Lonchura striata: one gene and its partners. The protein of the gene in region 1 interacts with the protein of each later gene in a pairwise test. Links are inferred from orthologs where the notes say so. Each region holds a gene or a part of one and is shown in the gene's direction. Other genes may lie near its edges.

Region 1 (6,985 bases):
AATGATATGCAGATAAAAAAGACAATTACTGTATTTCTCTGTTAAAAGCTGGGATCATAGAAAGAGAGCTGTAAGCATACCATCGACGGAAAGTGAAGGTTAAATTTAAAAATAGCCTAGTTATATGAATATTGTTTCCTTTTAAAAAAATAAAGCACCATTATAAATGAGCATACAAACATTTAAATGCAAAGTGCATATAAACTAGTAGTAACACAGCTTGTAAAGTTAATCCTTATATGGATATCTCGTGAAATAAATAAAATAAGACTTTAAAATGCTACAGGTTCAACCTGTTTCTAAAGGGATTGAAATCAATATACCTATCTCTTGAGACAGCTTTCCTCTCCCAATAAGTAATCCTCCAGCAACAAAGAGAGAAGATCAAGCCTGACATTTTTGATTTTTCTAAACTAAAGGAGCCAAGATGAAGATGTGGTAGTTTTGTTATGCAAGACATAAAACAGTAAAAGAGAAATAGAATGCTGCATACTGCAAAATTAATGTTTCAAAAATTTAATTTTCCTCTAATCATAGGGGACTATCTCAGTAATTCCAAATTTTCTCTGAGTAGTTCCTATTGATATGAAAAAATATCCTATTGATATGCAAAAATAAAATTAGGAAAATATGGAAATGAAAAAAGATCACCATGAATCTTAACTTGAAGAACAGAAAGCACTTAGTGCTGTCACAAGCATCTTGGAGTCCCCAGGCAGTACACTGGTGCTGGGGGCATCCATAGTCTGGGAGAGCAGAACCATGCACACAGGGCTATATTGGATGTACAGCGAGTCCATTGTGCACAAACTTTGCATGAGCCATAGCCACTTTTCCATGAAAATGTGGGGAACTGTACATATATATACATTACATATATACATATATAACTTGTACATATATACAGGTTGCACGATAGACAGTACTTCCCACATTACATGGGAAATGCCTCAGTGTTTAGGATGTTTGGTTATCTTAGCATTGGCTAATGAATATTGTTAGCCTTTCCATATTGAGAGCTTGGGCTGAGGCCTTACAACCACTGACCCTACCAACTTTCCTCCTGCAATAACCTTACATAGTTTGAACTTCAACTATACCTCCTTCTCCCACTTACAGAAGTCTTTCAAAACAATATGCCAATCATGATAAACAATGCATATATACTCAGAATTGTATCTCCCACTCTACTAGTTGTGTTCAACACCAACGGGCAAAAGCATAAACCAATGTGCAGCCAGTTTGTAAAAGCTGCTATTGAAAGAGTTGTTCAGTATGAGACTAAAATGATGATAGGATCAATGAAAGAACTATCTCTTGAAATCATATATACTACAAACATTTTTAATTCAAAAAATGAGCTATGTTCAATGGACTACAGTTGTACATATAGTGTATGGATTTTTCCAAGGGCAAAAGACTAATGAGAACTTAATTCAGGGCTATGTTATCAACACACAAATATATACAAATATATTTCAGGGACTTCCATGTCTGACTCCCTAAATGGAAATATATTAGGGAGTCAGACATGGAAGTCCCTGAAATCACACAAAGAGGCCACATTCTAAATTTTTGTCTAAACATTATCTTTTTAAACAAATCAAAAATAAAACAACAAACAAGCCCAACTTCCCCCAAAAAACTAAACCAAAGCCCAAAACACCTATTCAAAGTCTATGGTCCTGTTCTACACTAAAACCCTGTAGAATCTTCTGTAAAATAGTAAATTATAATAAAGTATAAAACAGTATAGGAGACATAAAATGATACTCCCAGCAAGTTAATTATGTAAGGTACTGATTTTTATGTAGATTTTGATCCTGGCAAGACTCACTACTACTCTGTTTTACCAGACAAAAAACCCTTTCTATATCTGTCTTTCAGCAAAGAGAAAATTAACACAGTATTATGGTGAATATGAAACAGTTTTGAGATAAGTGAAAAATGCCTGCTTAAGGACAAGGGAAAGGAATAGGGTATACCAAAGAAAAGAGATACAGTAATTCATATTAATTTATTTTTTGCAGTAACAGACTCTGACATTTGTAATCCAAATGAGCACATGAAAATGAACCTAGGTACAAACCAGACAAAATCATTGCCCTTTACCATGGCTGTTACTGGATGTTCACTACCTATAACATAAAAGCATACTCACAGGAACACAAAAGATTTTGACACTTAATAAAGGTCATGCTTTCTACTCCATTCAGAGCAAAATCTGAATATTGGAAGCTTAGCTTCTTTCTGTGAGTTGTCTGAAAAGACATGAAGGATTTAACCAGGAGTTTTTATGTACTACCTTTATTATTTTTGGCTATAGTAGTCGTAGTTGCTCAGCACACTACAAACCTAACTTTCATCTAAGAGGCAAAAAAGACTTATCATCCTTTCTTTATTGGTGACAGTCAAGGGCACAGAAAAGCCATGGCCTACCTCCTCAGAAGGAATTTAAGACATATCAGTGGAACTCAGATGTCTAAATTATTCTGTAAATGAAGGACCAAAATCACACTACTAAGTCATTAAAAAGAAACCAGGCCTAATGCAAAATGGTCCTTTTCATAAAGGTATTGAAAACCTCAGCTGAAAAATTTGATTGTATAATACATTTTAAAGTTTTCATCTGAAAAAAAAATTGATGAACAGATGCAAATGGTACAACGTTTTCGCAGAAAAATGAATTTTTTGAGTCAAACTAGATGGGAAGAGTAAACACATTAAAAGGACTATATCCATCTGTATATAGTTGACAGATTTTAATTTTTTTTTTTTTTTTTTTTTTTTGTTGCTTGTATTTTCTTTATAGTGTATATAATAGTCAAAATGCTGTGTATACTAATGGAGGAATGAACAGCATTTGCAGATAACGCCCCTACCAGAAGTCAACATTTGTTGAGATGAATGTCTGTGTTGTATGTTGTCCTGCACTGCACTGTTAAAAGGGGGCCCGATAAAATGTTCCTGTAAACCTTAATGTCTTGAAAGCCTCTAGTTCCCGAATAAACAACAGTCAAAATCTAATCTAATGTTCTCTGAAAATCTATGCTCTTCGATAACATGCCTTATTTTCTATACCTCAGGTTAGAAGTTATGGTTACTGTTTCCCTAGTTCAGAATTCAGAACAGAAGCAGCATCTGTGGGTGCTCATGTTTGCTTCTGCAATAAAATGTTCATTAGACAGGACTGACCTTTGCTTTTTAATCTACTTTTAAAACACTGTAGCAGAATCTGTGAAAAGAAGCAGTTCCTTTCACTGTCCCCATTATGTAACCTGTTTCTGGGCCTGCAAGTTCTCCTGGTCCCGTGTGAGGAGGCACCAGTGTCTCCAGGGGGAGGGGGGAAGAGGACGAGGAGCAGGTCTGGGAGAGACGTGTAAGGAATAACATTTTTCTCTGCCGAGCATAATGGGGAAAAAAATAGTTGAGAACCGCTGTTACGGGCCCGGGTGAGCAGATTCTCAAGTTACGTGAGAGCCCTCTAGTTCTTTTTGCTCGGGGGCTTCACCAGCAGACATAGCAGCTGCTCCTTGAGCCAGCTGTTTCCTCAGCGACACCTCAGACGTTCCTCCCGCTGCCGCCGGCCCGGTCCAGCCCTCCCAGGCTGCTCCTTCCGCCGTTCGCGGCCCGGCGCCTCAGGGCTCGCCCGCTGCCGGTGCAGGGCCGGGCGGGAGCCATGACGACACAACGGTCCCAGCTGCGCCCCGGGGCCCGCCCGCGGCGGGGCTCTGCATGAGGGGTGCCGCCTCACGCTCTCGCCACGGGCCCGCCCGGCCCGCGACGGGGCGAGCGGCTCGGGCAGGCATCTCCCGGGACGGGCGGGTGGGCGGCCGGTGGGCGAACCCCTCCGCCTCCACAGGTGGGCAGCGCACCCTTCCTTCGTGGTCAGCGGGGAGGAGGCGGCCCAAAGCCCACCCGCCGCAGCCGCCCCACCGGCAGCCTCCAGCCACGGCCCCCCCAGCCCCCCCACCGCCCAGGTGCCGCTCCGGCCGCACTCCCGCGGCCCCTCCTGAGGAGCGGCGGCAGCCCTTTCGCGCATGCTCGGCGCGGGCGCCATTTTGGTAGGGCCGGGAGTTCTCCAGCGGAGCGGCGGTGGAGCTCGCTGGGCCCGGCGCGGAGGGGGCGAGGGGTGCCCGCTGCGGAGATGGCCAACATCGCGGTGCAGAGGATCAAGCGGGAGTTCAAGGAGGTGCTGAAGAGCGAAGAGGTCAGAGCCTCTCCCCCCTCCCCCTGCGCGCCGCCGCCACCACCACCACCACCCTCCCCCGTGTGAGCGTGGGCAGCAGTGGACGGTGCAGGCGCCCCGCCGGCCTTCGCGGGGACCCCGCACCCCCCTCGGCCCCACCTCCCCGTGCCGGAGGTGGGCCCGTCCCACGGCATCTGGGAGGGGAATGGCGATTCCTGGGGAGACGGGGGCCGCCAGCCGCTGTGAGGAGGAGGAGGGGGCCGCAGGAAGCGCGGCGGCAGGGCCCGAAGAGGCTGGGCGGGCCGGCACCCGGCGAGGGCTGCCGGCGGTCGGTGCTCGGGAGCGCCGCCAGGCCGGAGGCCACGGGGCGGTGCGGGTGGGGCCGGCCCGGCCCCGCGGGGACCCCCGGGGACCCCCGGCACGCGCCCTCCCGCGTCCGGCCGCGCGGCTCCGGGAGGGATGCGTGAAGCGGACTGCGGAGGGCGAGGTGGGGTGCGTGATCCCACACATCCCCTTCGGCTGACCCCTTTGGCTCGCCAGTGCCAGAGGCTGCAGGGTACGGGTTTAATGTTTGGGGTTTTTTAGCGGTTGCTATTAAACCCCCATTTAGCTTCCCTGTATACAGAACTTCCTTTATCCCACTGCAGGCTTACTCACCTTTAGATGGATGCTTTTAAAGCCTCACTCATTTCAGTCATGTTACCTCGTTTCCTGATCAGTATGTTCAGAGGTATGTGGTAGTCAGTAAGAGAGGCTGACTACTTTCAGGGCAGCAGTAAAGAAGTTCTGATCAGTTTGGGTGAATATATAGCAGTATTTGCAGGGTTGCATCAATACAGCTTTTGCTGTGTCTGTGTCTGAGTTGGTGGACGTCAGCCAGATAGGTTTTAATAGTTGTGTCGTCATTGTCGTCCTACTTGGGATGATGTTGCAGGTTAGATCTTTGTGAAATATTAATGTGAATATGTAAATCTTAAAGGTGGTGTTCCAGAAATCTGGACGTATTCACAGAGAAAAAATTGAGAGAATAGTTTTTGAAAGGTGTTAATGGCTTAAGGAAAGCACGTTTAGGGTAGCAGTAGTTAATGTACTTTTAAATTGTGTGCTAACAACATTGTTGCTATACATCTTGAGCTAGCCCCTAGAAAAATGTAAGGGCCTTGTTTTACAGCTGCCTTTAGAGCCCAGGCTGATTTTGCCAAGCCATTGCACAGCAAATACAGAACTGCATGGAGACCAAGAGAAATTTCTAGGTGGATACCTTTATACCAATGTTAGAGAATGTAGACCTCATACCCCGTATAACCAGCTGATACTGTGGAAACAAAAAAAGTCTATTTGGAAATTTGGAAATGCTTTCTAAATGCTTCAAAACCATTTCCCTTTGCTTTATGTAGAAAACAAAAAAAGAAAAAAAAAACCTTAATTTAAGTAGGTTTTAGGGGAGGTGAATGGTAAATTTTCTTACTGTAAAGGTTGGATCCAGTGTGCACATTTTTGTTTATTTCTGTTTGTTTAGTCTGCAGGATTTCAGTACAGAATTTTGGAAATGGATATTATTATAAGATAGCCTTTGAGCTGCCTGAAGCTAGCCAGAAAAAGGTCATAATTCTTATAAAATTCAATTAATGGAATTTCAAAATCATAGTACAGCAGACTCTTGACATTTATTTTTCTTCTGCCATTGGCAAACTACATAAGTGTCATGATATATTAGTATGTATAAAATTGCTGTTTACAGACAATACTAACTCCCATGTCTTTAATGCAAAATTTCAGCATTACTCAGTGGTTATCAAAGTTGCAGGCAAAGTTTTTTTTTGTGAATGTTTATACATTCCAGGGCAGTCAAACTATGATGTCCTTATCATTGGGTGTGAAAACATGTGGAGTGGGATGATGAAAAAAGATCCAACTAAATACTACAAATGACAAACAAACAAAAAAAAGTTTTCTTACTAAAATTATTATTAAACCTGGTTTCTTCAAAAAGAAATATTTTTAATGAATGGCAATGCTAAGTTTGTTTTTTGGAGGTTAATAAGTCCCTCTCTGAAAGCAAAGTGGCTCACATTATCTGTTCTTAAATTATTCCTTATTTAATGCTTCGAACTACTTGAAGGGCACCCCCCCACACACACACCCCACCTTTTCCTTGTAGATATAACAGGAGCATAAATGCCTTGGAAGGGGGTAGGCACACAGGGAGAAAAGCACATAGGAAGTTTGTTCTCTGTCTTTTTCCACTACTCACTTTTATGCTGAAATGGATGATGGAACTAGAAATGTTTTTAAAAGGGAGCAGCTGGATCAGTTAATTCCTTCTGCATTTGAAGTACGTGTTGGACGTGCTAAATCCAAATGAAGAAAGAATTCTGTAAAGTGTGTTTATCCTTGCTATGGATAAGGATCTATGAATCCTTGCTACACAGGACTAAATATACTTTTCATATTACTTAGTACTTCCTTTTTCCTTGAATGTAATTTCTGGGAAATAACTAAAATATGAAATATGCTCTCTGGTTTACAGGAAAGAGATGAAGGATCTTCCATAGTTCTAAGTTGAATCTGGGACTTATAGTGTTTTTCAAAAGTATTTAAAGTCTTTTCACTCTTGAGGAAGAGAAAAGTGCTTTTGTACTGCTTGCTGTATTATTTGTAGTCTTGTTATATACATGACATTACGTTAAGAAGTATGGTATTGTTTATTTAAGAGATATCTGTAACTTTACATCTCTTAAATAGTTGAATTAAATAGATAAAACTAACTAAAGTTAGTTTTAGGGGTTGTTAGGA
Region 2 (7,117 bases), on another chromosome or scaffold:
GATGCACTTTGAAGTTCCAAGCTAGACATCCTCAGCTTCACACACACCCCTAATGTAAACCCAGCTGCACTGCTGAATCCTTGCTTTCATCTACTCTGGTACAAAAGTGAGAGACAGTTTAGGCTGAACCCATGGAGATCAAACCCCAGGGATATGCTATTAGATAAGCCTTAACCAAGTGAAACTTTGACTTCGGTAACATTCTTGCTCAAGTGACTCTAATCATCAGAGTTTTTAATTTCTTTCCCTTTTTACCCAATTATGGGTTTTTTACTGTGTTCTCTCATTGCTACTTCTTCCTTCCTTCTTGCCTAGTCATTCCTCTTCCAGTTTGCAGAGTTGGTATCCCACTGCTTTCTCAGAAGAAAAATCTGTCCAAGTAGATAAAGAATAGCCCTGAAATTCGACATATATGTGTTATATGTGCATCAATCATTAAACAACATTAATATTGAATAGTAAACTTTTAAAATTTACTGACTGTGTTAAGGAGCTCATTAAAAAGTGTACTCTTAGATCATCTACTGACTATGGAACTCATATTCCTCAATCAAATCCTTAAAAGTCAGTATCTTTAATATGTGCATTTTCTTCTGTTTATAAAGCTATGTCATCTCCAGATGATCCAGATGATCTTTAAGGTCCCTTCCAACTTGTTCTATGATTCCATTTTCTACACTTGCCTTTAAGAATTACTGTGAGTTTAGGGTAAAAAAAAAAAATCAAAGAGCTGCAGTAGATTGGACTAATCAGAGTGCAGTCACCAGTGAGTCTCAAAGAGCTTAGGAATCTTTAGTTTTGCTAGAATCTTTGCAGTGCAGTTGTCTGCACCACTCTGCTTGTAGGAAAGATTCTTTGAACTGTTCTTATGATTGCTATTAAAAGTGTATGGCTGTTATCCAAATGAAAGCCTTATCCAAGAGCCTTATGCTTTTTGTTAATCCTAGAAACATGGAAAGTAGTAAATATTGTGCAAAAAAAAAGTGCTTTGGACAGATTATACAGATAAGTGGACATGGTTGTGAGCAAGCAGAGAAAAACTTATGGAGCAGAGTGTGCAAACCTGCTGTGATTTCCTAAAACTCAGATGCCTTCAGATATTTATCATGACTCTGAAAGCTACAAGAATGAGAAAAATGAGCTCTTCCAAAATTTTGGTGCCTGTAGCTTTTGTCCCATTGTGAATTTCTTGTTCCTCTACGCCAGCTTCCAAGTACAAAGGTGGCTGCATTTTTCATGCTTCATTCTTCCTTTTGATCGGTAGAGCTCATCTCATTTGTGCATAGCACAGTTAACCACCTCCTGGATGGTGCAAACATTTTTATTTAGAGCTAATGTATTTATATCAATTGGTCTGTGAAGAGGCCTTATTGTTTCTAAAATGTTTAAGGTACTTCCTTCTTTACAATGGGAATGCTCTCAGATTGTTAGGGAGAAGCAAAGAAACAATGGTGGAAGTTTAGAAGCTGTAATTGGGACATAAATGGTTCACAAGTACATCTTTTAAAACCTCTTTTCAAAGGCTGAAATTCATACCACATGACTTTCACCATGCTAGTAGCCCCTAAGTCCCAGAATGGGGTCACCTAAACCAAGAGTGTAATTTTAAGCTGGTTCTTAGGAAAAAAAAAACAAACCCACAAAACAAACAAAAAAAAATCCCACACCCAAACAAACAACAAAAACAAACCAACAAACCAACCCCTAAAAATTTTACTTGAATTGATGAAACTCGATAATTGCTGATATTACATTGCATAAATCTGTCAGATTTTGACTTTTTTTTGGAATATCAATAAATTTCTGTCTTTTGTTTGATTATCTTTCAGTATCATAAGTTGAGTTCTACCTCACAGATAGTCTAATTCTATTCAAATAAAAATATTTGTAAATATGGAAACACTTAAATACTGTTCTTTTGAAACAAAGTGCATCTTTTTGAAAAGACCATACAATTTTTTGGAAGAATGAACAGGAGCTCATCTTTTTTGACAGATTGTGAATATCAAATCTCAAACTAGAAATAATAGAAACATAATTTGTGTTACAAATACATACCATATCAAGCTTAATCTCAAACATGGCCCTGGTTTCAGAAATTGTCTTCTGGAGCATGAAAATCACTGGCCAAGGGTGAACTATTCTGGACAGAGACTTTGTTGAGGCAAGTCATTTGGCCCCAGTATCCACCTGTAAAATCAGAGGTCTGATGCCCTCCAGTATTCATGATGAACCCATCAGATCAGATGAATAATCAGAAAGAAATACTGAAACATATTAACAACCTGTCCTCTGCTCTAAGGAAATCAGAGGCCAACTACAGGCATTAGGATGTTAATGAGATCAATGTGGAGGTGGAGCCTTGCATTTCAGAGTTCATACACCATCTTCCTTTTTCAACCTTTTTAATGGAAAGGTAATTTCTTCATGAAGAGTTCTGTGAAATCTGGGAGGATTTTTATGTGAAATATCTTGTAAAAGGATTTCTGAATTCATTTTAGCAGAGAATCTGCTTTCAAATACTGAATTTGCAGACACCAACTTTAAGATATATGAATCCTCTGATGCTTTATTATGTCTTTTAGGTAATAAATAAAAGACATCACATTGCAATTGTTTGCCTCAGATTACTGCAGTGAGACCTTTGTCCAGTAGAGAATTGTTCAAGATTCATGGTTCAATAATTGAATTAGCACAGTTAAGAAATAATTCACAAAAGTCACAGTCAAAGTGTTCTTTGTTTATAAATGAAACAAACAAAATTCTTTCTTTCCTTCTTTCTTTCCTTCTTTCTTTCCTTCTTTCTTTCCTTCTTTCTTTCCTTCTTTCTTTCCTTCTTTCTTTCCTTTGTTCTCTGGTGATGTTGTTATTTTCTTAAACTAAAATATGTTTGAGATAAACAATTTGGATTAATTCCTCCTCTTGAAGCCTTTTCCTTCTGCCCTAACACCCGAACTCCAAGAAAAGTGGAAACGGATTCCCTTAAATTCACATTTTTGAGGTAGGAAAATGTGTTCCAGGCATTTATTGCATGTTTGGTTCACTGTTAAAATGACTCTGTATGGTGGAAGATTCTCCTCCTGTCTCCTCCTTCAGCTAAGCAATAATGGGGGGACAGGACTGTGAAGTCACAACCCACATTGTGAAAAGAGATCGCATCCATCAAACTGTCACCTTGGTTTTCTCTCCAGGGTCACAGAGGAACAAAGTCAGCTTGTGTCAGGTTGAAATAGCATTGGTAAGTGTTAGTGTGTGTGAAGCTGGTGGCTTGAAGTCTATTTATTTTGTTTGAAAGGCTCAAACAGCATGCTGCCAAGCAGAAGAACAGGCAGGAGGAAGTCTCCTTATAAATTATTACTGGAAGGCTCGCAGCCAACATTTAAGATGTGAAATTATGCCATCTGCTTTTCTAGGTCTTTGATTTACTTTGTGGCAGCTGCCTGTTTCTGAGTACTTTGCATCTTGTGGAGCAGTAAAACTTGTGCTAAGAACTATTATGACAACTGTGTTTCTTTAACAAAGATTTAATACATTCTTGAAAAGCAGAGGCTATGCAGGGATGTTATCTCAATATCTGTCTCATGTTTTCAAGATAATTTGTACTAAAAAAATGTTGTCTCTTTTTACATAAACTGGAAATGAAGATAGAATCCTTCTCTTATTGTGAAAAATGCAATTGCTTGTTTTGATTGTAGCTATCAGAAGCATTTCAGGGAGGCACCAGTGTTTTTTTTAATTCGGTGCCTCATAATGCTATTGATTTTGTGTCTGTTGGGATCTCTTTTTTTATAATTTTGGTATTGATTTTCTGGGGCAACATCTTGGTTGGGTTTTTACCCTGTTTGAAATATTTAAGATTTATTTGCGTGTTCTTTGTGAAAAAGAAATATCTAAGGCCCAACAAGAGCATTAGGAAGTCACGTGGCTAATTTTAAAATAAGAAAAAAAGCCTAATTATTTCAGTGCAGGCTAACTGAGATGCATGCCGGGGACTCTGGCGAGCACCCAGGGGTGTTCTCATTTGAGAAGAGAGTGGCTGGGAGGGCGATGGCTGGAGAGGGGCACTTTTCCGTGCCCGGGGCGCTGCGCCCCAGCGCCTGGCGCGCTGTGGCTGCGCTCCCCGGGGATGCGGCGGGGCCGGGGCTGAGCGCCGGCAGCATCCCGCTTCCCCCACCCCCGGAGCATCGCTCCTGCTGGAGGCGTTCGGTGCGGCTGCCTTTTCCTGTGCGAGGATTAGGGACTGGGAGAATGGCTTTGTGAGGAAGCTCGGAGAGTGGGAGCTGAAGAGAGGCTGAACAGAGGGGCCGAAAGACTTTAGCCTTTCATAGTTCTTTCAGTCAGTTCATTCTCAGAGACCAATTGCATGCGATACGGCAGCTGGGGGTTTTGTTTTCCTTTCAGCTGTGTACTGTAGGAGAAGCTGGTAAGGTTATTTTTTTTTTTTTTTCCTTGTTCTACTGTTCCGTGGTGCTATTGTAATTGCTTTATCGAAGCGAGTGTCTGGTGAGGAAGGGAAGTTGGTTAATGATGCTGAGGGTCCCTGCATTGTCTCTGCTTTGTGCAGCTGCAGTTTGGGGAGAGGCACTGTTTACAGTGCTGGGGCTGCTTTCTGCTGAACAACTTTGCTGTTGTTTTTCCAAAGTTGTTTGAGCCTTTCTTTTGGCAAAGTTAGGAAAATAAGCAAATAAACAGACTTGGCTCTTTGGAAATGGGTAAATTTTTAGAAGCTGCAATTTGTTGAAAAATCTGTTCTGCCTAATTCTTAGTTTCAGATGTTCTTGCTTTGATGTTATCAGATCTGTTACTTTGCTGAATCAACTCCAAAACTGGGTTTTATGTGAGAGCCTTTCTTCACAAATCTTTTCATGTTTTCAGCAGGGCCAAGATAAATTGATAGCCAAAGAAAACAAAACAAAAATGTATCTGTGGAAGGTGAGAATACTTGAGGAAAGAATAAATTCTAGGGGAATTCAGGAATTTAAAAAAATAAATGAAGAAGCCTTAATTCTTGGCAGTAATTTTTAGCAAAATATCAGTGTAATGGGAAGCATGTGCTTAGGCATAGACTAGAAATACTCTTTCAGAAGATCCAAGATGTACAGGTGCATATCCTGTCTAACTGCACCCTTCCAAAGGAAAAGTTAATATATTTATCAACTTAAAGGAAAAAAAAAAAAAAAGTTAAACCAGAAGATCCTGGCTATCCTGTTCCTTTTGTTATTTCTAGAATAGTAACTTGTGTTGCTCAGAATCTTTTATTTCCTTTCATATTATCGTGGGAAAGTTTAGCTTGAATTGGTCGGACATACGTGAGCGCAGCTTGGGGTACACCATGCCTATTCCACAGGCAGGCTCTGAAAATCCTGCCTCTGACTCAAATGAATTGTAAAGACCAAAATTGCCAACAAAAGTTTCTTTTGTGGCCATTCAAAAATCACAAACAAGGTAAGAGGGAATGATTGACAACAGTTACGTTACTGATTGACAGAAAACCAAAAACTTGGTCTGTGACTTACTATGTTAGTTTTTCAGGAAGTGTTGACCTTTTTCACTATTATTCTGTTCTTTCTGATGGACTATTCCCAACTCCTCTATTGAGGCTAGAATGTCTATCTAAAATGTGTCTTTGTAATTACTGCCTATAGTCTGTATGTCTCTTTACAATGATATGCTTATTTGTTGATACCGAAACAAAATTGAGAAATGCATTGCAATCAGACCTCCATGAAAGAATGTGTATCTTTTATATGCCTCACATGCTTAGCTATTGATTTCAGCTACAGATTTCACTCCTATGAAGTAATGAAGTGCCCCATCCAAATCCTGCAGATTTATACTCAGTTCTAGCTGCTAATAATGGAAGGCCTAAGGATATCAATGTGGTTACTCATGTGAGTAAAGATTTGGAGACTCATTTCCCATTCATGAATGAAATGGTTTGGGAAACGCACAGTTACTATGGTTCTCTTTTGGCTTAAAAACAAAAATCTCCACAAAAACAACCACTAATGAGATCTGCTAGAGGGACCCAAGGATAGAAAAATTCAGTGCTTTAACATAAGAATGTAGTATTAATATGAGAATGTGACAGTAGTGTTTTAGGGGTTGTAATAAAATTTTCCCTCTCTCTAGCTTATTAACAGCTTTAGAAGGAAGGGAAAGTTAATTAATCTCTTTGTGTTGCACCACTAGATATGGCCATGACTTTTGAAATACCACCACAACTATGAGATACTCCTTACATTAAAAATAAAATTTAATTTAGGGTGGTCTTCATCATGTACTTGTACCTATTCTTGTGATAAGTGTCAGTCCTAGCAAGTGACAATAAACTGGTATTTCTGGTTAGGCTTCTCCTGGTTGTTTGTAGGCAAAGGTACAATATCTCCAGGGTACAAGGTTTATTTCACATCCTTGGTTTCACTGCAAGTGAACCAGAAGCAGGATGTCCTCTTTGTATATACCAGTTAAAGATCCTCAGTTCTCTAAAAGAGAAATTACTCTGGTTAAGTGTTTCTGAACTGTTCAACAGCATCCTTTAGTTTACAGAGATGAAAGAGATGTATTTGCTGCTACTTCTTTCCTAGTTTTTATGAATTCTAAATTTCCAAACTGTATTTTGGAGAAAAAACAGGCATCTAACTTAACAGAACTCACACCTGATTTTATAGCTCTGCATGGTAAAGGAACTATACTAAAATTATTTTGCCAAACAGTCCCAAAATTACCTGTCTGAAAGAGAGAATTTTCTATCCCATCAATTTTTAAAAGCAGAGATACATGGACTTTTATATGGCCATTATTGTTGGAAAAGGGCCTTGATCACCACCAACATCACATGCATAAAGAAGTAAATCTTGGCTATAAATGTCTTTTATTAAGTTAAAGCAGAACAAAATTCCAAAGGTAGAGGGAAACGCATAAGCAAACGTAACATTCAGTTATAAAATTAGAGCAATCTAAATATGTTTCAGCAGTCATTAGCTATCTGCTGTTTGTTACAACTGAAAGGTCTGTGCAGATCAAAACAGTAATATTGCTTCTCAAAACACATAAAAAATTGTGGAGGTGGACCTGCCACAGTGGTGTTGTGCTGGAGTTTGGTGATTTTTTGGTG
Region 3 (8,001 bases), about 20 Mb from region 1:
AGATATCCTGACTGGGATAGACTGTTAAATTACTATGTTGGCCTTTTGCAGGTCTGTTGATTCTTTTTCTACACTGCTTAGCCATCTTTGCAGTAGACAGGCTTTTATTTAGCTAGTCACAAGGTTTACTTGAGGTTAAGCACCTTGTTCAGAGATGGTGCTTTGTATCTTACACTGTTGTACCATGTAATTTCACAGAGTAGCTTATGTTCCACTCTCCAGGCAGTTGAACATCATCTCTGCTTCTCACCCTAGGGAATGACTAGTTCATTGGCCATGTCATGCAATCATATCACAAAAACCTTGGGGACTGTCAATGTTTAATCTGCCCTTAATGAAGCTTGCCAGATCAGCTTACGCTATTTGTCACTATTTTTTTGGCCTGGCTGCCAGAGCCTTGGCAATGATTTGTACTTCTAAAACAAAGAAATAGGCAGGCCTGCAGTTGTAAGTGTTAACTAAAATTGAAATCCATGAGAAACCCAGGCAGAAATCCACCTTTGATCTGTTTCCTGTGTGTTTTAGGCTAGATGAAAACAGTTTAGTTTTAATCCCCATAATGACTATTCCTTGGCTGAACTCAGGCAAGATCCATGCAGGGACTGAGGCCAGATGCAGGGCCTGCCTACTCTCTGGGGTAGACTAGAGTTCAGGAACCCTCAATCTGGAAGAGTTACAACGGAGTGAAGGCTTGTGCACAGCACAAAGGCTTGTTAGTGGCCATGCACAGAGCCAGATTGTGTGATTGTGCACTGAACTCCCTGGCATTTCTGTTTTATGAGTCACTATGCAGATCCCTGCCAGCTCAGGTGGCCCTGCACCCACATTTGTAGACATGGCCTTTAATACCTAATGGCTACCTTAAATACTTCAGGCAGGAATGTCAGCCTTCAAAAGCTGCCTTGTAACCCAGGTGTCTGGAGATGCTAAGCAGCAGCAAGGGCTGAGCAGCTGGGCATCTCCATCATACTTGAGCACAGAAGACACTGTGCCTGTCCTCTCTGAAGCATAGTGTGCAGAGCTCAGAAAGCACCTGCTGAAGCCCAGCAAAACAGCTCCTGCCGTCGGGGGCACAGAAACCTGATTCTGTGCCTAATGAGCAGCCAATTACGAGGCAGAGACTGGACTTTCAAGGTTAGTGCCTTAAACAGCAGCCTGACTACGGGCTACATAGTGGGCTTTGTTCTCTCCCGCATTCCCTTTGCTATTTGCTAACAGCAAGGCAGCAGCTTCAGGAGGATTCCGAAGTTACAATAATCTAAAAAGATACAATTAAATAAGGGAATGTTGGTTATGCTTTTATCTGGCTGCTAAGAGATTTGAGCCCAAATCTGTAATTTTTCTGCATATGGTAATTGGCTCTCATCTCTTCCCCAGTCAGCTTTTTTAAGAAAGGGAACTTAAGAGAATGCGTATGTATGAATTCCAGTTGGAGATGGGCATTTTCCTGCAGTCCAGATGAGGATACCAAGTTCATGGAGAGAATTTAATATCTCACCATTCACAGTAGCTAAGTTAGACAGCTCTGTGCTAACGTGCTGGCTTTTGTGGGTGTCATTCCTGTGGATTGCTTAAGCACAGAAATCTTGGCAGGAGGAACTGCAGACTGCAAGGCACCTTGTGGTTAGGAGCTGACACCCCTGCCTGTGCCTCTTTGTGAATCTGTCTCTTCCTTTATTTACTGCTAAGATTTATTTTCTTCATCCAAAGCATGTTAATTTAATTAGATGGGGAATAGGACTTTTTCACTATAATAGGACCATGAGAGAGAAGAGACTGTAGTATCAAAAGCAATGCAAATCTGATGAGCAGTCAATGCCCTAGAAATATAAGTAACCTGTCTATGTAAAAGCCTGGTATGGAGTTAACTGAGGCAGTGCAGCAACAGATTTCCTTTGGAATAAGTGATGTAATATTGTACAAAGGGTTTCTATTGACACTTCTATCTCTGACCAAAGTTATATATAATATTGTGTTGTGATGTAATGGCATGGGAAAAGATGTGGAAAACATAATAAATACTGATGGAATGGGCGAAAGACCTTTTAAATAACCACTGAAAATCTGCCTTTCTCAGCTGTATGGTAGACTGTAGAGTTGCTACCATGTTCCATGAGGTGTGCCAAACAATGTGCAGATCATAACAACTCAATTATATTTTTTTCTGAATCTGTTTGCTGAGAGGCCATTTTTGCAGATCTTGGGCTGTCAAGAGAAGCTTGAACTCCTAGAGTGAGCTAACTCCCTGCTGGAAGGAAACCAACAGCAAGTTCACAGGTTACAGCTGCATCTTTTTGTGCCTGAGTCCTGCTATGAATGCAGATCTTTCTTTTGTTAGTCTAACTGCCTTCTCAGCTGTATCTCAGCCAGGTCCCTTACAGCACGATTGGAGTTTGAGCTAAGAAGTGTAAGTGCTGCAAATTAACTTACTGGAAGCACACTGGCACTAGTGAAATGTCCACTCCTGAGCTGTGTGTCCTTGCTTAGCCTGAGGAAGCCACAAGTGTCCATGGGTTGGATACTCACAGACTATGTAGATAAAGGAGAGGATTCCAAGTTCATGCTGCTTCCACAATGAGCTGGGTAGATGTTACTTAGCTCAGACCAGAAGTCATGTAACCATGTTGGCTTTCACTGTGCTGTGCTTTTCTGTGTTGGAAGAGTAGGCACAGCTATGAAAAGTAGTTGAGCCTTCTCATTCTATGTCAGTTGTTTCCTGCTTTTTAAAAAAAAAGCTGTTAGATTCATTGCTTTACCTTGCTTTACCTCATTCTCAATTTGTATCTGTTGCTGTCTTTGTGCAATGTACTCTTTGAAGTTCAATGTTTTACTTAGCAAAGTATCAGAACTACATGAGTTTAAGTGACAGCTCAGCTCTTTCTAATCGGCTTAAGGAATCTTTTCATTTTATTGCTTTTCTTTTTGAATATATTGACTTTCCTAAAGCCACTAAATATATGTTTCACTAGACATTGTCTAATTATTCTTTAATTTTGTATATAAGATTAATTCAGAAATGGATGTAGATGTTTTGTTTAAAATATATTCCATTTTTTGTAATTTTAGAAAGGAAAAGATTGATTATAATGCTTTGTGGTTATATGTCCTGTGGGTAGAACATGAGAGCCCTGAGGTTTAAAAGTCAAATGTCAGAGAGGCCTGACTCCTGTGTAATGCTTGTCTAGGAATGTGATACTTGATAAATCCTAAAATTTTCAGTCATGTAAGTTTTGTATCCTGCTGATGCTGAACTTCCTCAAACCCATTTGAAGAAAACACAATGCATCAAATCTTCATTTTTCTGTGTAAAGGAGAGAGAATGTTTAAGACTTTCATATCTTTGTACAACCCTTAAGTTTCACAGACAAAAATGTGTGTTTGTGTGCACAGCCTCTGGTAAAATACTGCTCTGTGATTGTCAGAGTAAATCTCCTCTATAGGACAGTTTGGGTGTTCAATGCAGTTTATGGAGCAGTTTTCTTCTTTAATTTAAAAGTCCAGGGACTTTTGCCCATTGCAGTGAAACTTCTTTGAAGGATTTTATATTACGATATGTCCAATTACTTGTGGCACCAGCAAGTTTTTTGTGAAACCCTGGTCTTGAACACCTGTTTCAAGAAGCCACATCCCAAACAACACTTCACCTTCAGGCAGTATGAGTCTCTTTTGTAAAAGTATGTCCACCACATAAGAAAGGTAGATGCTGTGGGCTTTGAAGCAATGCTTCATGCCTGCTTTGTCACACCTGGAGAGACCCCTTTGCACTGCAGAATGTTGGAGAATCTTGCTTAAGTTTTGGGGAAATGTTCTGTAGGCCAGATGCTCTCTCTTGTTCATCTTCTGAATAGGAGGAGAGAAGAAAAATCAGACTTCCATGTATATTAATGTGGTTCATGCTAATAACAGTTGCTGGGTTGACAGGTCAGGAGAGATATCAATCCACTGAGTCACAATACAGATATCTCTGAGGTAGGATTCGAGCAAAGTTTCCCCAACAGTATTGTTCAAACTGAAATCACCAATTTTGTCTTGAGTTAAACAGGTAGTTTTGCCTTCTTAACCATTTGACTTTTGATTTGTATAACCAGGATAAGGGTTATCTCCAAGGGTGGCTGCAGATAGAGGAAAGATGGGAGATATCTACCTAATCTGTTTCACAAAACATCTGTGATGTTTTGACCCCCTACCTGGGGTCACAAAGCATCTGTGATGTGACTACCACTTCATGTCATTCCCAGCCAGGCAGGTTTTCAGTTGCTGACTTAGAAAACTGACCCTGCCCAGCCCCATTGCTGGGGCCCTAACATCCCTGTCCCTGATGTTATCTGACAGACCTGCCCTGCCCTCCCCACCAGGCTGTGTGTCTCTGAGCTGAAAGTCATATAAACAGCAGTGTGCCTTCTCTATTTCTGCTCTATTGCACGCTACGCCTCACTGACTCACACAGCTCCTTTCAGGCACTTCCTTGAGTTTTGACGTAGCATGATTTCATAGTGTAGGGTAAGTGACTTAGAAGTCGATCTTTCAGTTTTGAGTGGGGTAGATGTAAGCAGTATTTGGGCTTACATCATGAGGTCCTGGTTGCTGGAAGAATAAACAGAGAGAGAAAATTTCAACTCTGCAAGATGCAATATTGATTGCTGCACTGAGCCATGATGTCAAGTATATACTTCCCTTCCTCCTTGCTTCCCACAAGTGCTAAATAATAGACCTTGTTTACTGGCATTTGCAAATTATTTTGTCTTTGTGACTGATGCAATGACGTGCCCCCTATACTCTCATTTAATTTGTAACACCATTTGGATTTTTTTTAATCCTACATTTCTAATACAATTTTTAAATAACTATATTTCCTGCCCCCCAGACAAAACAGCTCTAATTTTATAATGAGAATTTCAGGGTTAGATTATTTTTAAAAAGAATCTAGGCCATATACATTATGTAAGGTTACCATAGTAACAGTTTCTCCGAGGGGAAAACCGACTGTCCGTAGTTTCCACAGAAACCACTCCCTGCTGAGAAGGTGCCTCCAAGGGAAGTGAAAGGAATATAAATGAGAGAGAGAGAGAGACGCGCACAGATGTCATATGACCTCTGCGGCATCCCTGAACTGTTGCAGATTCAACCGAGCGTTTCTGGGTTTGTTTGCAGTTTGTTGTTTTTGACTGCATGTGTGGCACCTTCTCTTGTCATGTAAAGTCTGGCTGCCCTTCCCTCGAGTGGAACTGGTTTTACAGCTGGAGGTACGGCGATGCTCCACCTTGGCAGTGAACTGACCACAGCAGATCCTAAAATCCACTGCTCTAGGAACCGCTGTGCGTGGGAGAATTTAAATGGTAAAAGAGAATTTCCCCTCTTTTTTATGAACTTTTTTTTTTTTTTTTTTTTTGATTGAAAGAATTCAGCAAAGACAGGTATGGAAATGCTTCCTTCCAGAGAGAAACAGGAGAGAAGGGAAGCTCAACTAATTTGTCAGTTAATTGTTTTGTTCTTTTGGGGTACAAGCATACACTGCTAGGAAAAATGTATTCTTAAAGGAATTTAAAAGCCTCAAGTCCTAGGATTTATTAACTGATTAAAAAAAAAAAAAAAAGAAAGGTGAAATGTCTTTAATGTACTTTAATATCACTGAGGCAAGTATGGATTAACATTTCTGAAATCCTTTTGCACTTATTTTTTTCACAAACAGCTTCATTTATTTTATTTTTTTTTCAAGGGCAATAAAACTGTGACATTCATTCAAGGCTTAGTGCAGCCATAACTACAGATTAACGCTCTGGCTACTTCATCCTGTCATCTCTCTGCTGCTTTCTGGGGAAAGCAGGCTGACATGGTTATTAAATCTGGCAGCTGTGTTGTATGCACATGGGAAGCAAGTAGAGCACAGCATATAGAAAATGAGTAGCTTTCAGATAGCAGCCTTCAATTCACTGCTGCAAGACTTGAAAGGCAGTCTAAAAAGCTCATTCTCTTCTTTGTAATCACCAGTCGCTGGATCAGTGCGCAAATATCACAAATACAGTTGCAAATGTAAGTATTCCTTGCCTGTGTGGTGCTTTCAGATTGCTAATTAAGGTTTCTACCTTAGTCTTCTGCTTGAAAAAGCAGAGAGATGAAAGCTGAAAACATCCTGACAGGGGAAGCTTCTCTGCAGTATTGTTCTGGCTTTCAGTGGAAGAGCTGCTGAGGGAAAGGGATGCTTGAAAGCTTTCTAGAACAAATAGTTTGCAGTTGTGTTTGTTGATTTTGGGGATGTCTGCTTGCCATTTTTCTGTGAGGGGAGAAGTCCAGCAAATGCGGGAGGTACTTATAGAGAGATGTTTTTCTACTTAGGTTAGATATACAGCAAGAAAGATACTTCAGTAGTAATTGATGGTTTGTGAGCACGTAGAAGAAAAATTTTCTATGGTATTTTTCACCTGGAATCTTTTTTTAAAAAATCCATAAATGCAGACCTGAACTTCTCTTTAGGAAGCTCAACAGTACCTTATTATCAGAAGCACAAATAAATAGTCATCATAAGGGGCACCAGTAAGTCTGCATCTGACCTGATAAGAACCATGAACATAGCACGGTGAGCAATGCATGTTTTTCACCCATCTCATTCTGTCTGTATATGAAATGATCTTTATCTGCTACAGTGGCATCAAGACAGGATAGTAAGGTGATTGGGAAGCAGTGGAGCTGAAGGTTTCTCAGTGTTGTGGTGATACTGTAAGGAAAAAAATGGATACTTGTCAGTGTATTTTTGGTCTCATAGCACTGAAGAAACAGTATGTTGGTTTTTATTCTCCTTTCTAATTCAAAACTTCTGTATTGCTGTTGTCTTATCAAGTTTATGGCTAATGAATTCTTACTGTGCTGTGAATGAAAACTGCTTCTCGAAAACAGCTTGTGATCAGTACCAAGTATAAATGTCAGATAACTACACAAGAAATGCAGGCTGTAGCCAGTTTGTTTCAATTGCTATGTTGTGTTTCTTGCTTTATTTACAGGTTTGTTATTTCTTGGGGACCAGTGGTACTGTCAGCTTTTCATGAGCCATGTGAAAATGTCACTTGCACAGTTAACAGGTGACTGCCATTAAGTGACTAGGGAGAGAATATATGTGTAGTTTGCTGCAACAGAGGACTAAACATATTCATGGTATAACCCCTAATGATGCTGTAACACAGGTATTTGGTGAATGTTGTGTTTATAAGCTGCTTTTGAAATACTTTGGCCTCATCTTAGAGATGTATATGTATAAATACCTTACTGTAGCAAGTAAAAGCTGATTTTGAAGTTTCCTTCCTCATGTCTCCTTTTTCCCCCATAGACATAAATTCATAGCTTCCCTGAAACTTAGCTGTGAAAATGGTCATATTTGATGACAGCTGTGGAGCTAAGCTTCCCAAGCCTCAGTGGCAGCCAGCCAGCTGCTGAGACAAGTGGTGACCTTTCAGGACAATGTTGCTCACAAAAATGTCAAACTATTAAAATGGCAGGCATCAAATGCCATGTTACGTGGGGAAGGGTACTCATCTGGCAGGATTTCAGCTGAAGACAGTTAATCCACTGCTTCTTTGGATTATACATTGAAAGCCCCTGCCTAAGTCTCTCAGATATAAAGAAATTATTGATATGTGTCCTGAATAATTTCAGAAGTTCTTCTGGAAGATTTGAGACACAGATTAAAAATTTCAGAGGTATTTTATTTAAAATCTGCTCAGACATCTTCCTGATAGATATCCCCAAAAGAAGGTTTTGGCCTTTAATTTTGCTCTTTACATCATATACCAGTTTTCCTCCCAAATCTCTTATCCAGAATGTAAATGATCCTGATGAAGCTTAAGCAAGGTTCATTGATGTGCACAGGATGCTGAAATTCTGATAGCATGTGCACTGACTTTTTAGGCATATGTTCACTGAATATTTAACAATCCCCTGCAGTTCTGGTGCTGCAGCCCTGAGCTGAAATCTCATTTGCTATTATATGCATCGTTGCTTTGTAACTTTCTC

Evidence for each region. The genes of interacting proteins can lie anywhere in the genome.
Region 2: the proteins of UBE2K (region 1) and MID1 interact in binary tests that used the Homo sapiens proteins (3 or more experiments, as listed by UniProt). The link is inferred for Lonchura striata from reciprocal best matches to the Homo sapiens genes UBE2K and MID1.
Region 3: the proteins of UBE2K (region 1) and TRIM2 interact in binary tests that used the Homo sapiens proteins (3 or more experiments, as listed by UniProt). The link is inferred for Lonchura striata from reciprocal best matches to the Homo sapiens genes UBE2K and TRIM2.

What each region holds. Positions count from the first base shown.
Region 1 is NC_134606.1:22,965,884-22,972,868, forward strand, and holds the start of UBE2K (ubiquitin-conjugating enzyme E2 K), read left to right. Parts: upstream 1-3,977; 5' UTR 3,978-4,147; coding exon 4,148-4,210; intron 4,211-6,985. UniProt on the Homo sapiens protein: Accepts ubiquitin from the E1 complex and catalyzes its covalent attachment to other proteins. In vitro, in the presence or in the absence of BRCA1-BARD1 E3 ubiquitin-protein ligase complex, catalyzes the synthesis of 'Lys-48'-linked polyubiquitin chains.
Region 2 is NC_134604.1:97,753,018-97,760,134, reverse strand, and holds the start of MID1 (E3 ubiquitin-protein ligase Midline-1), read left to right. Parts: upstream 1-4,112; 5' UTR 4,113-4,423; intron 4,424-7,117. UniProt on the Homo sapiens protein: Has E3 ubiquitin ligase activity towards IGBP1, promoting its monoubiquitination, which results in deprotection of the catalytic subunit of protein phosphatase PP2A, and its subsequent degradation by polyubiquitination.
Region 3 is NC_134606.1:42,883,609-42,891,609, reverse strand, and holds the start of TRIM2 (tripartite motif-containing protein 2), read left to right. Parts: upstream 1-4,996; 5' UTR 4,997-5,243; exon of another isoform or gene 5,244-5,336; intron 5,337-5,716; exon of another isoform or gene 5,717-6,030; intron 6,031-6,515; exon of another isoform or gene 6,516-6,574; intron 6,575-8,001. UniProt on the Homo sapiens protein: UBE2D1-dependent E3 ubiquitin-protein ligase that mediates the ubiquitination of NEFL and of phosphorylated BCL2L11. Plays a neuroprotective function. May play a role in neuronal rapid ischemic tolerance.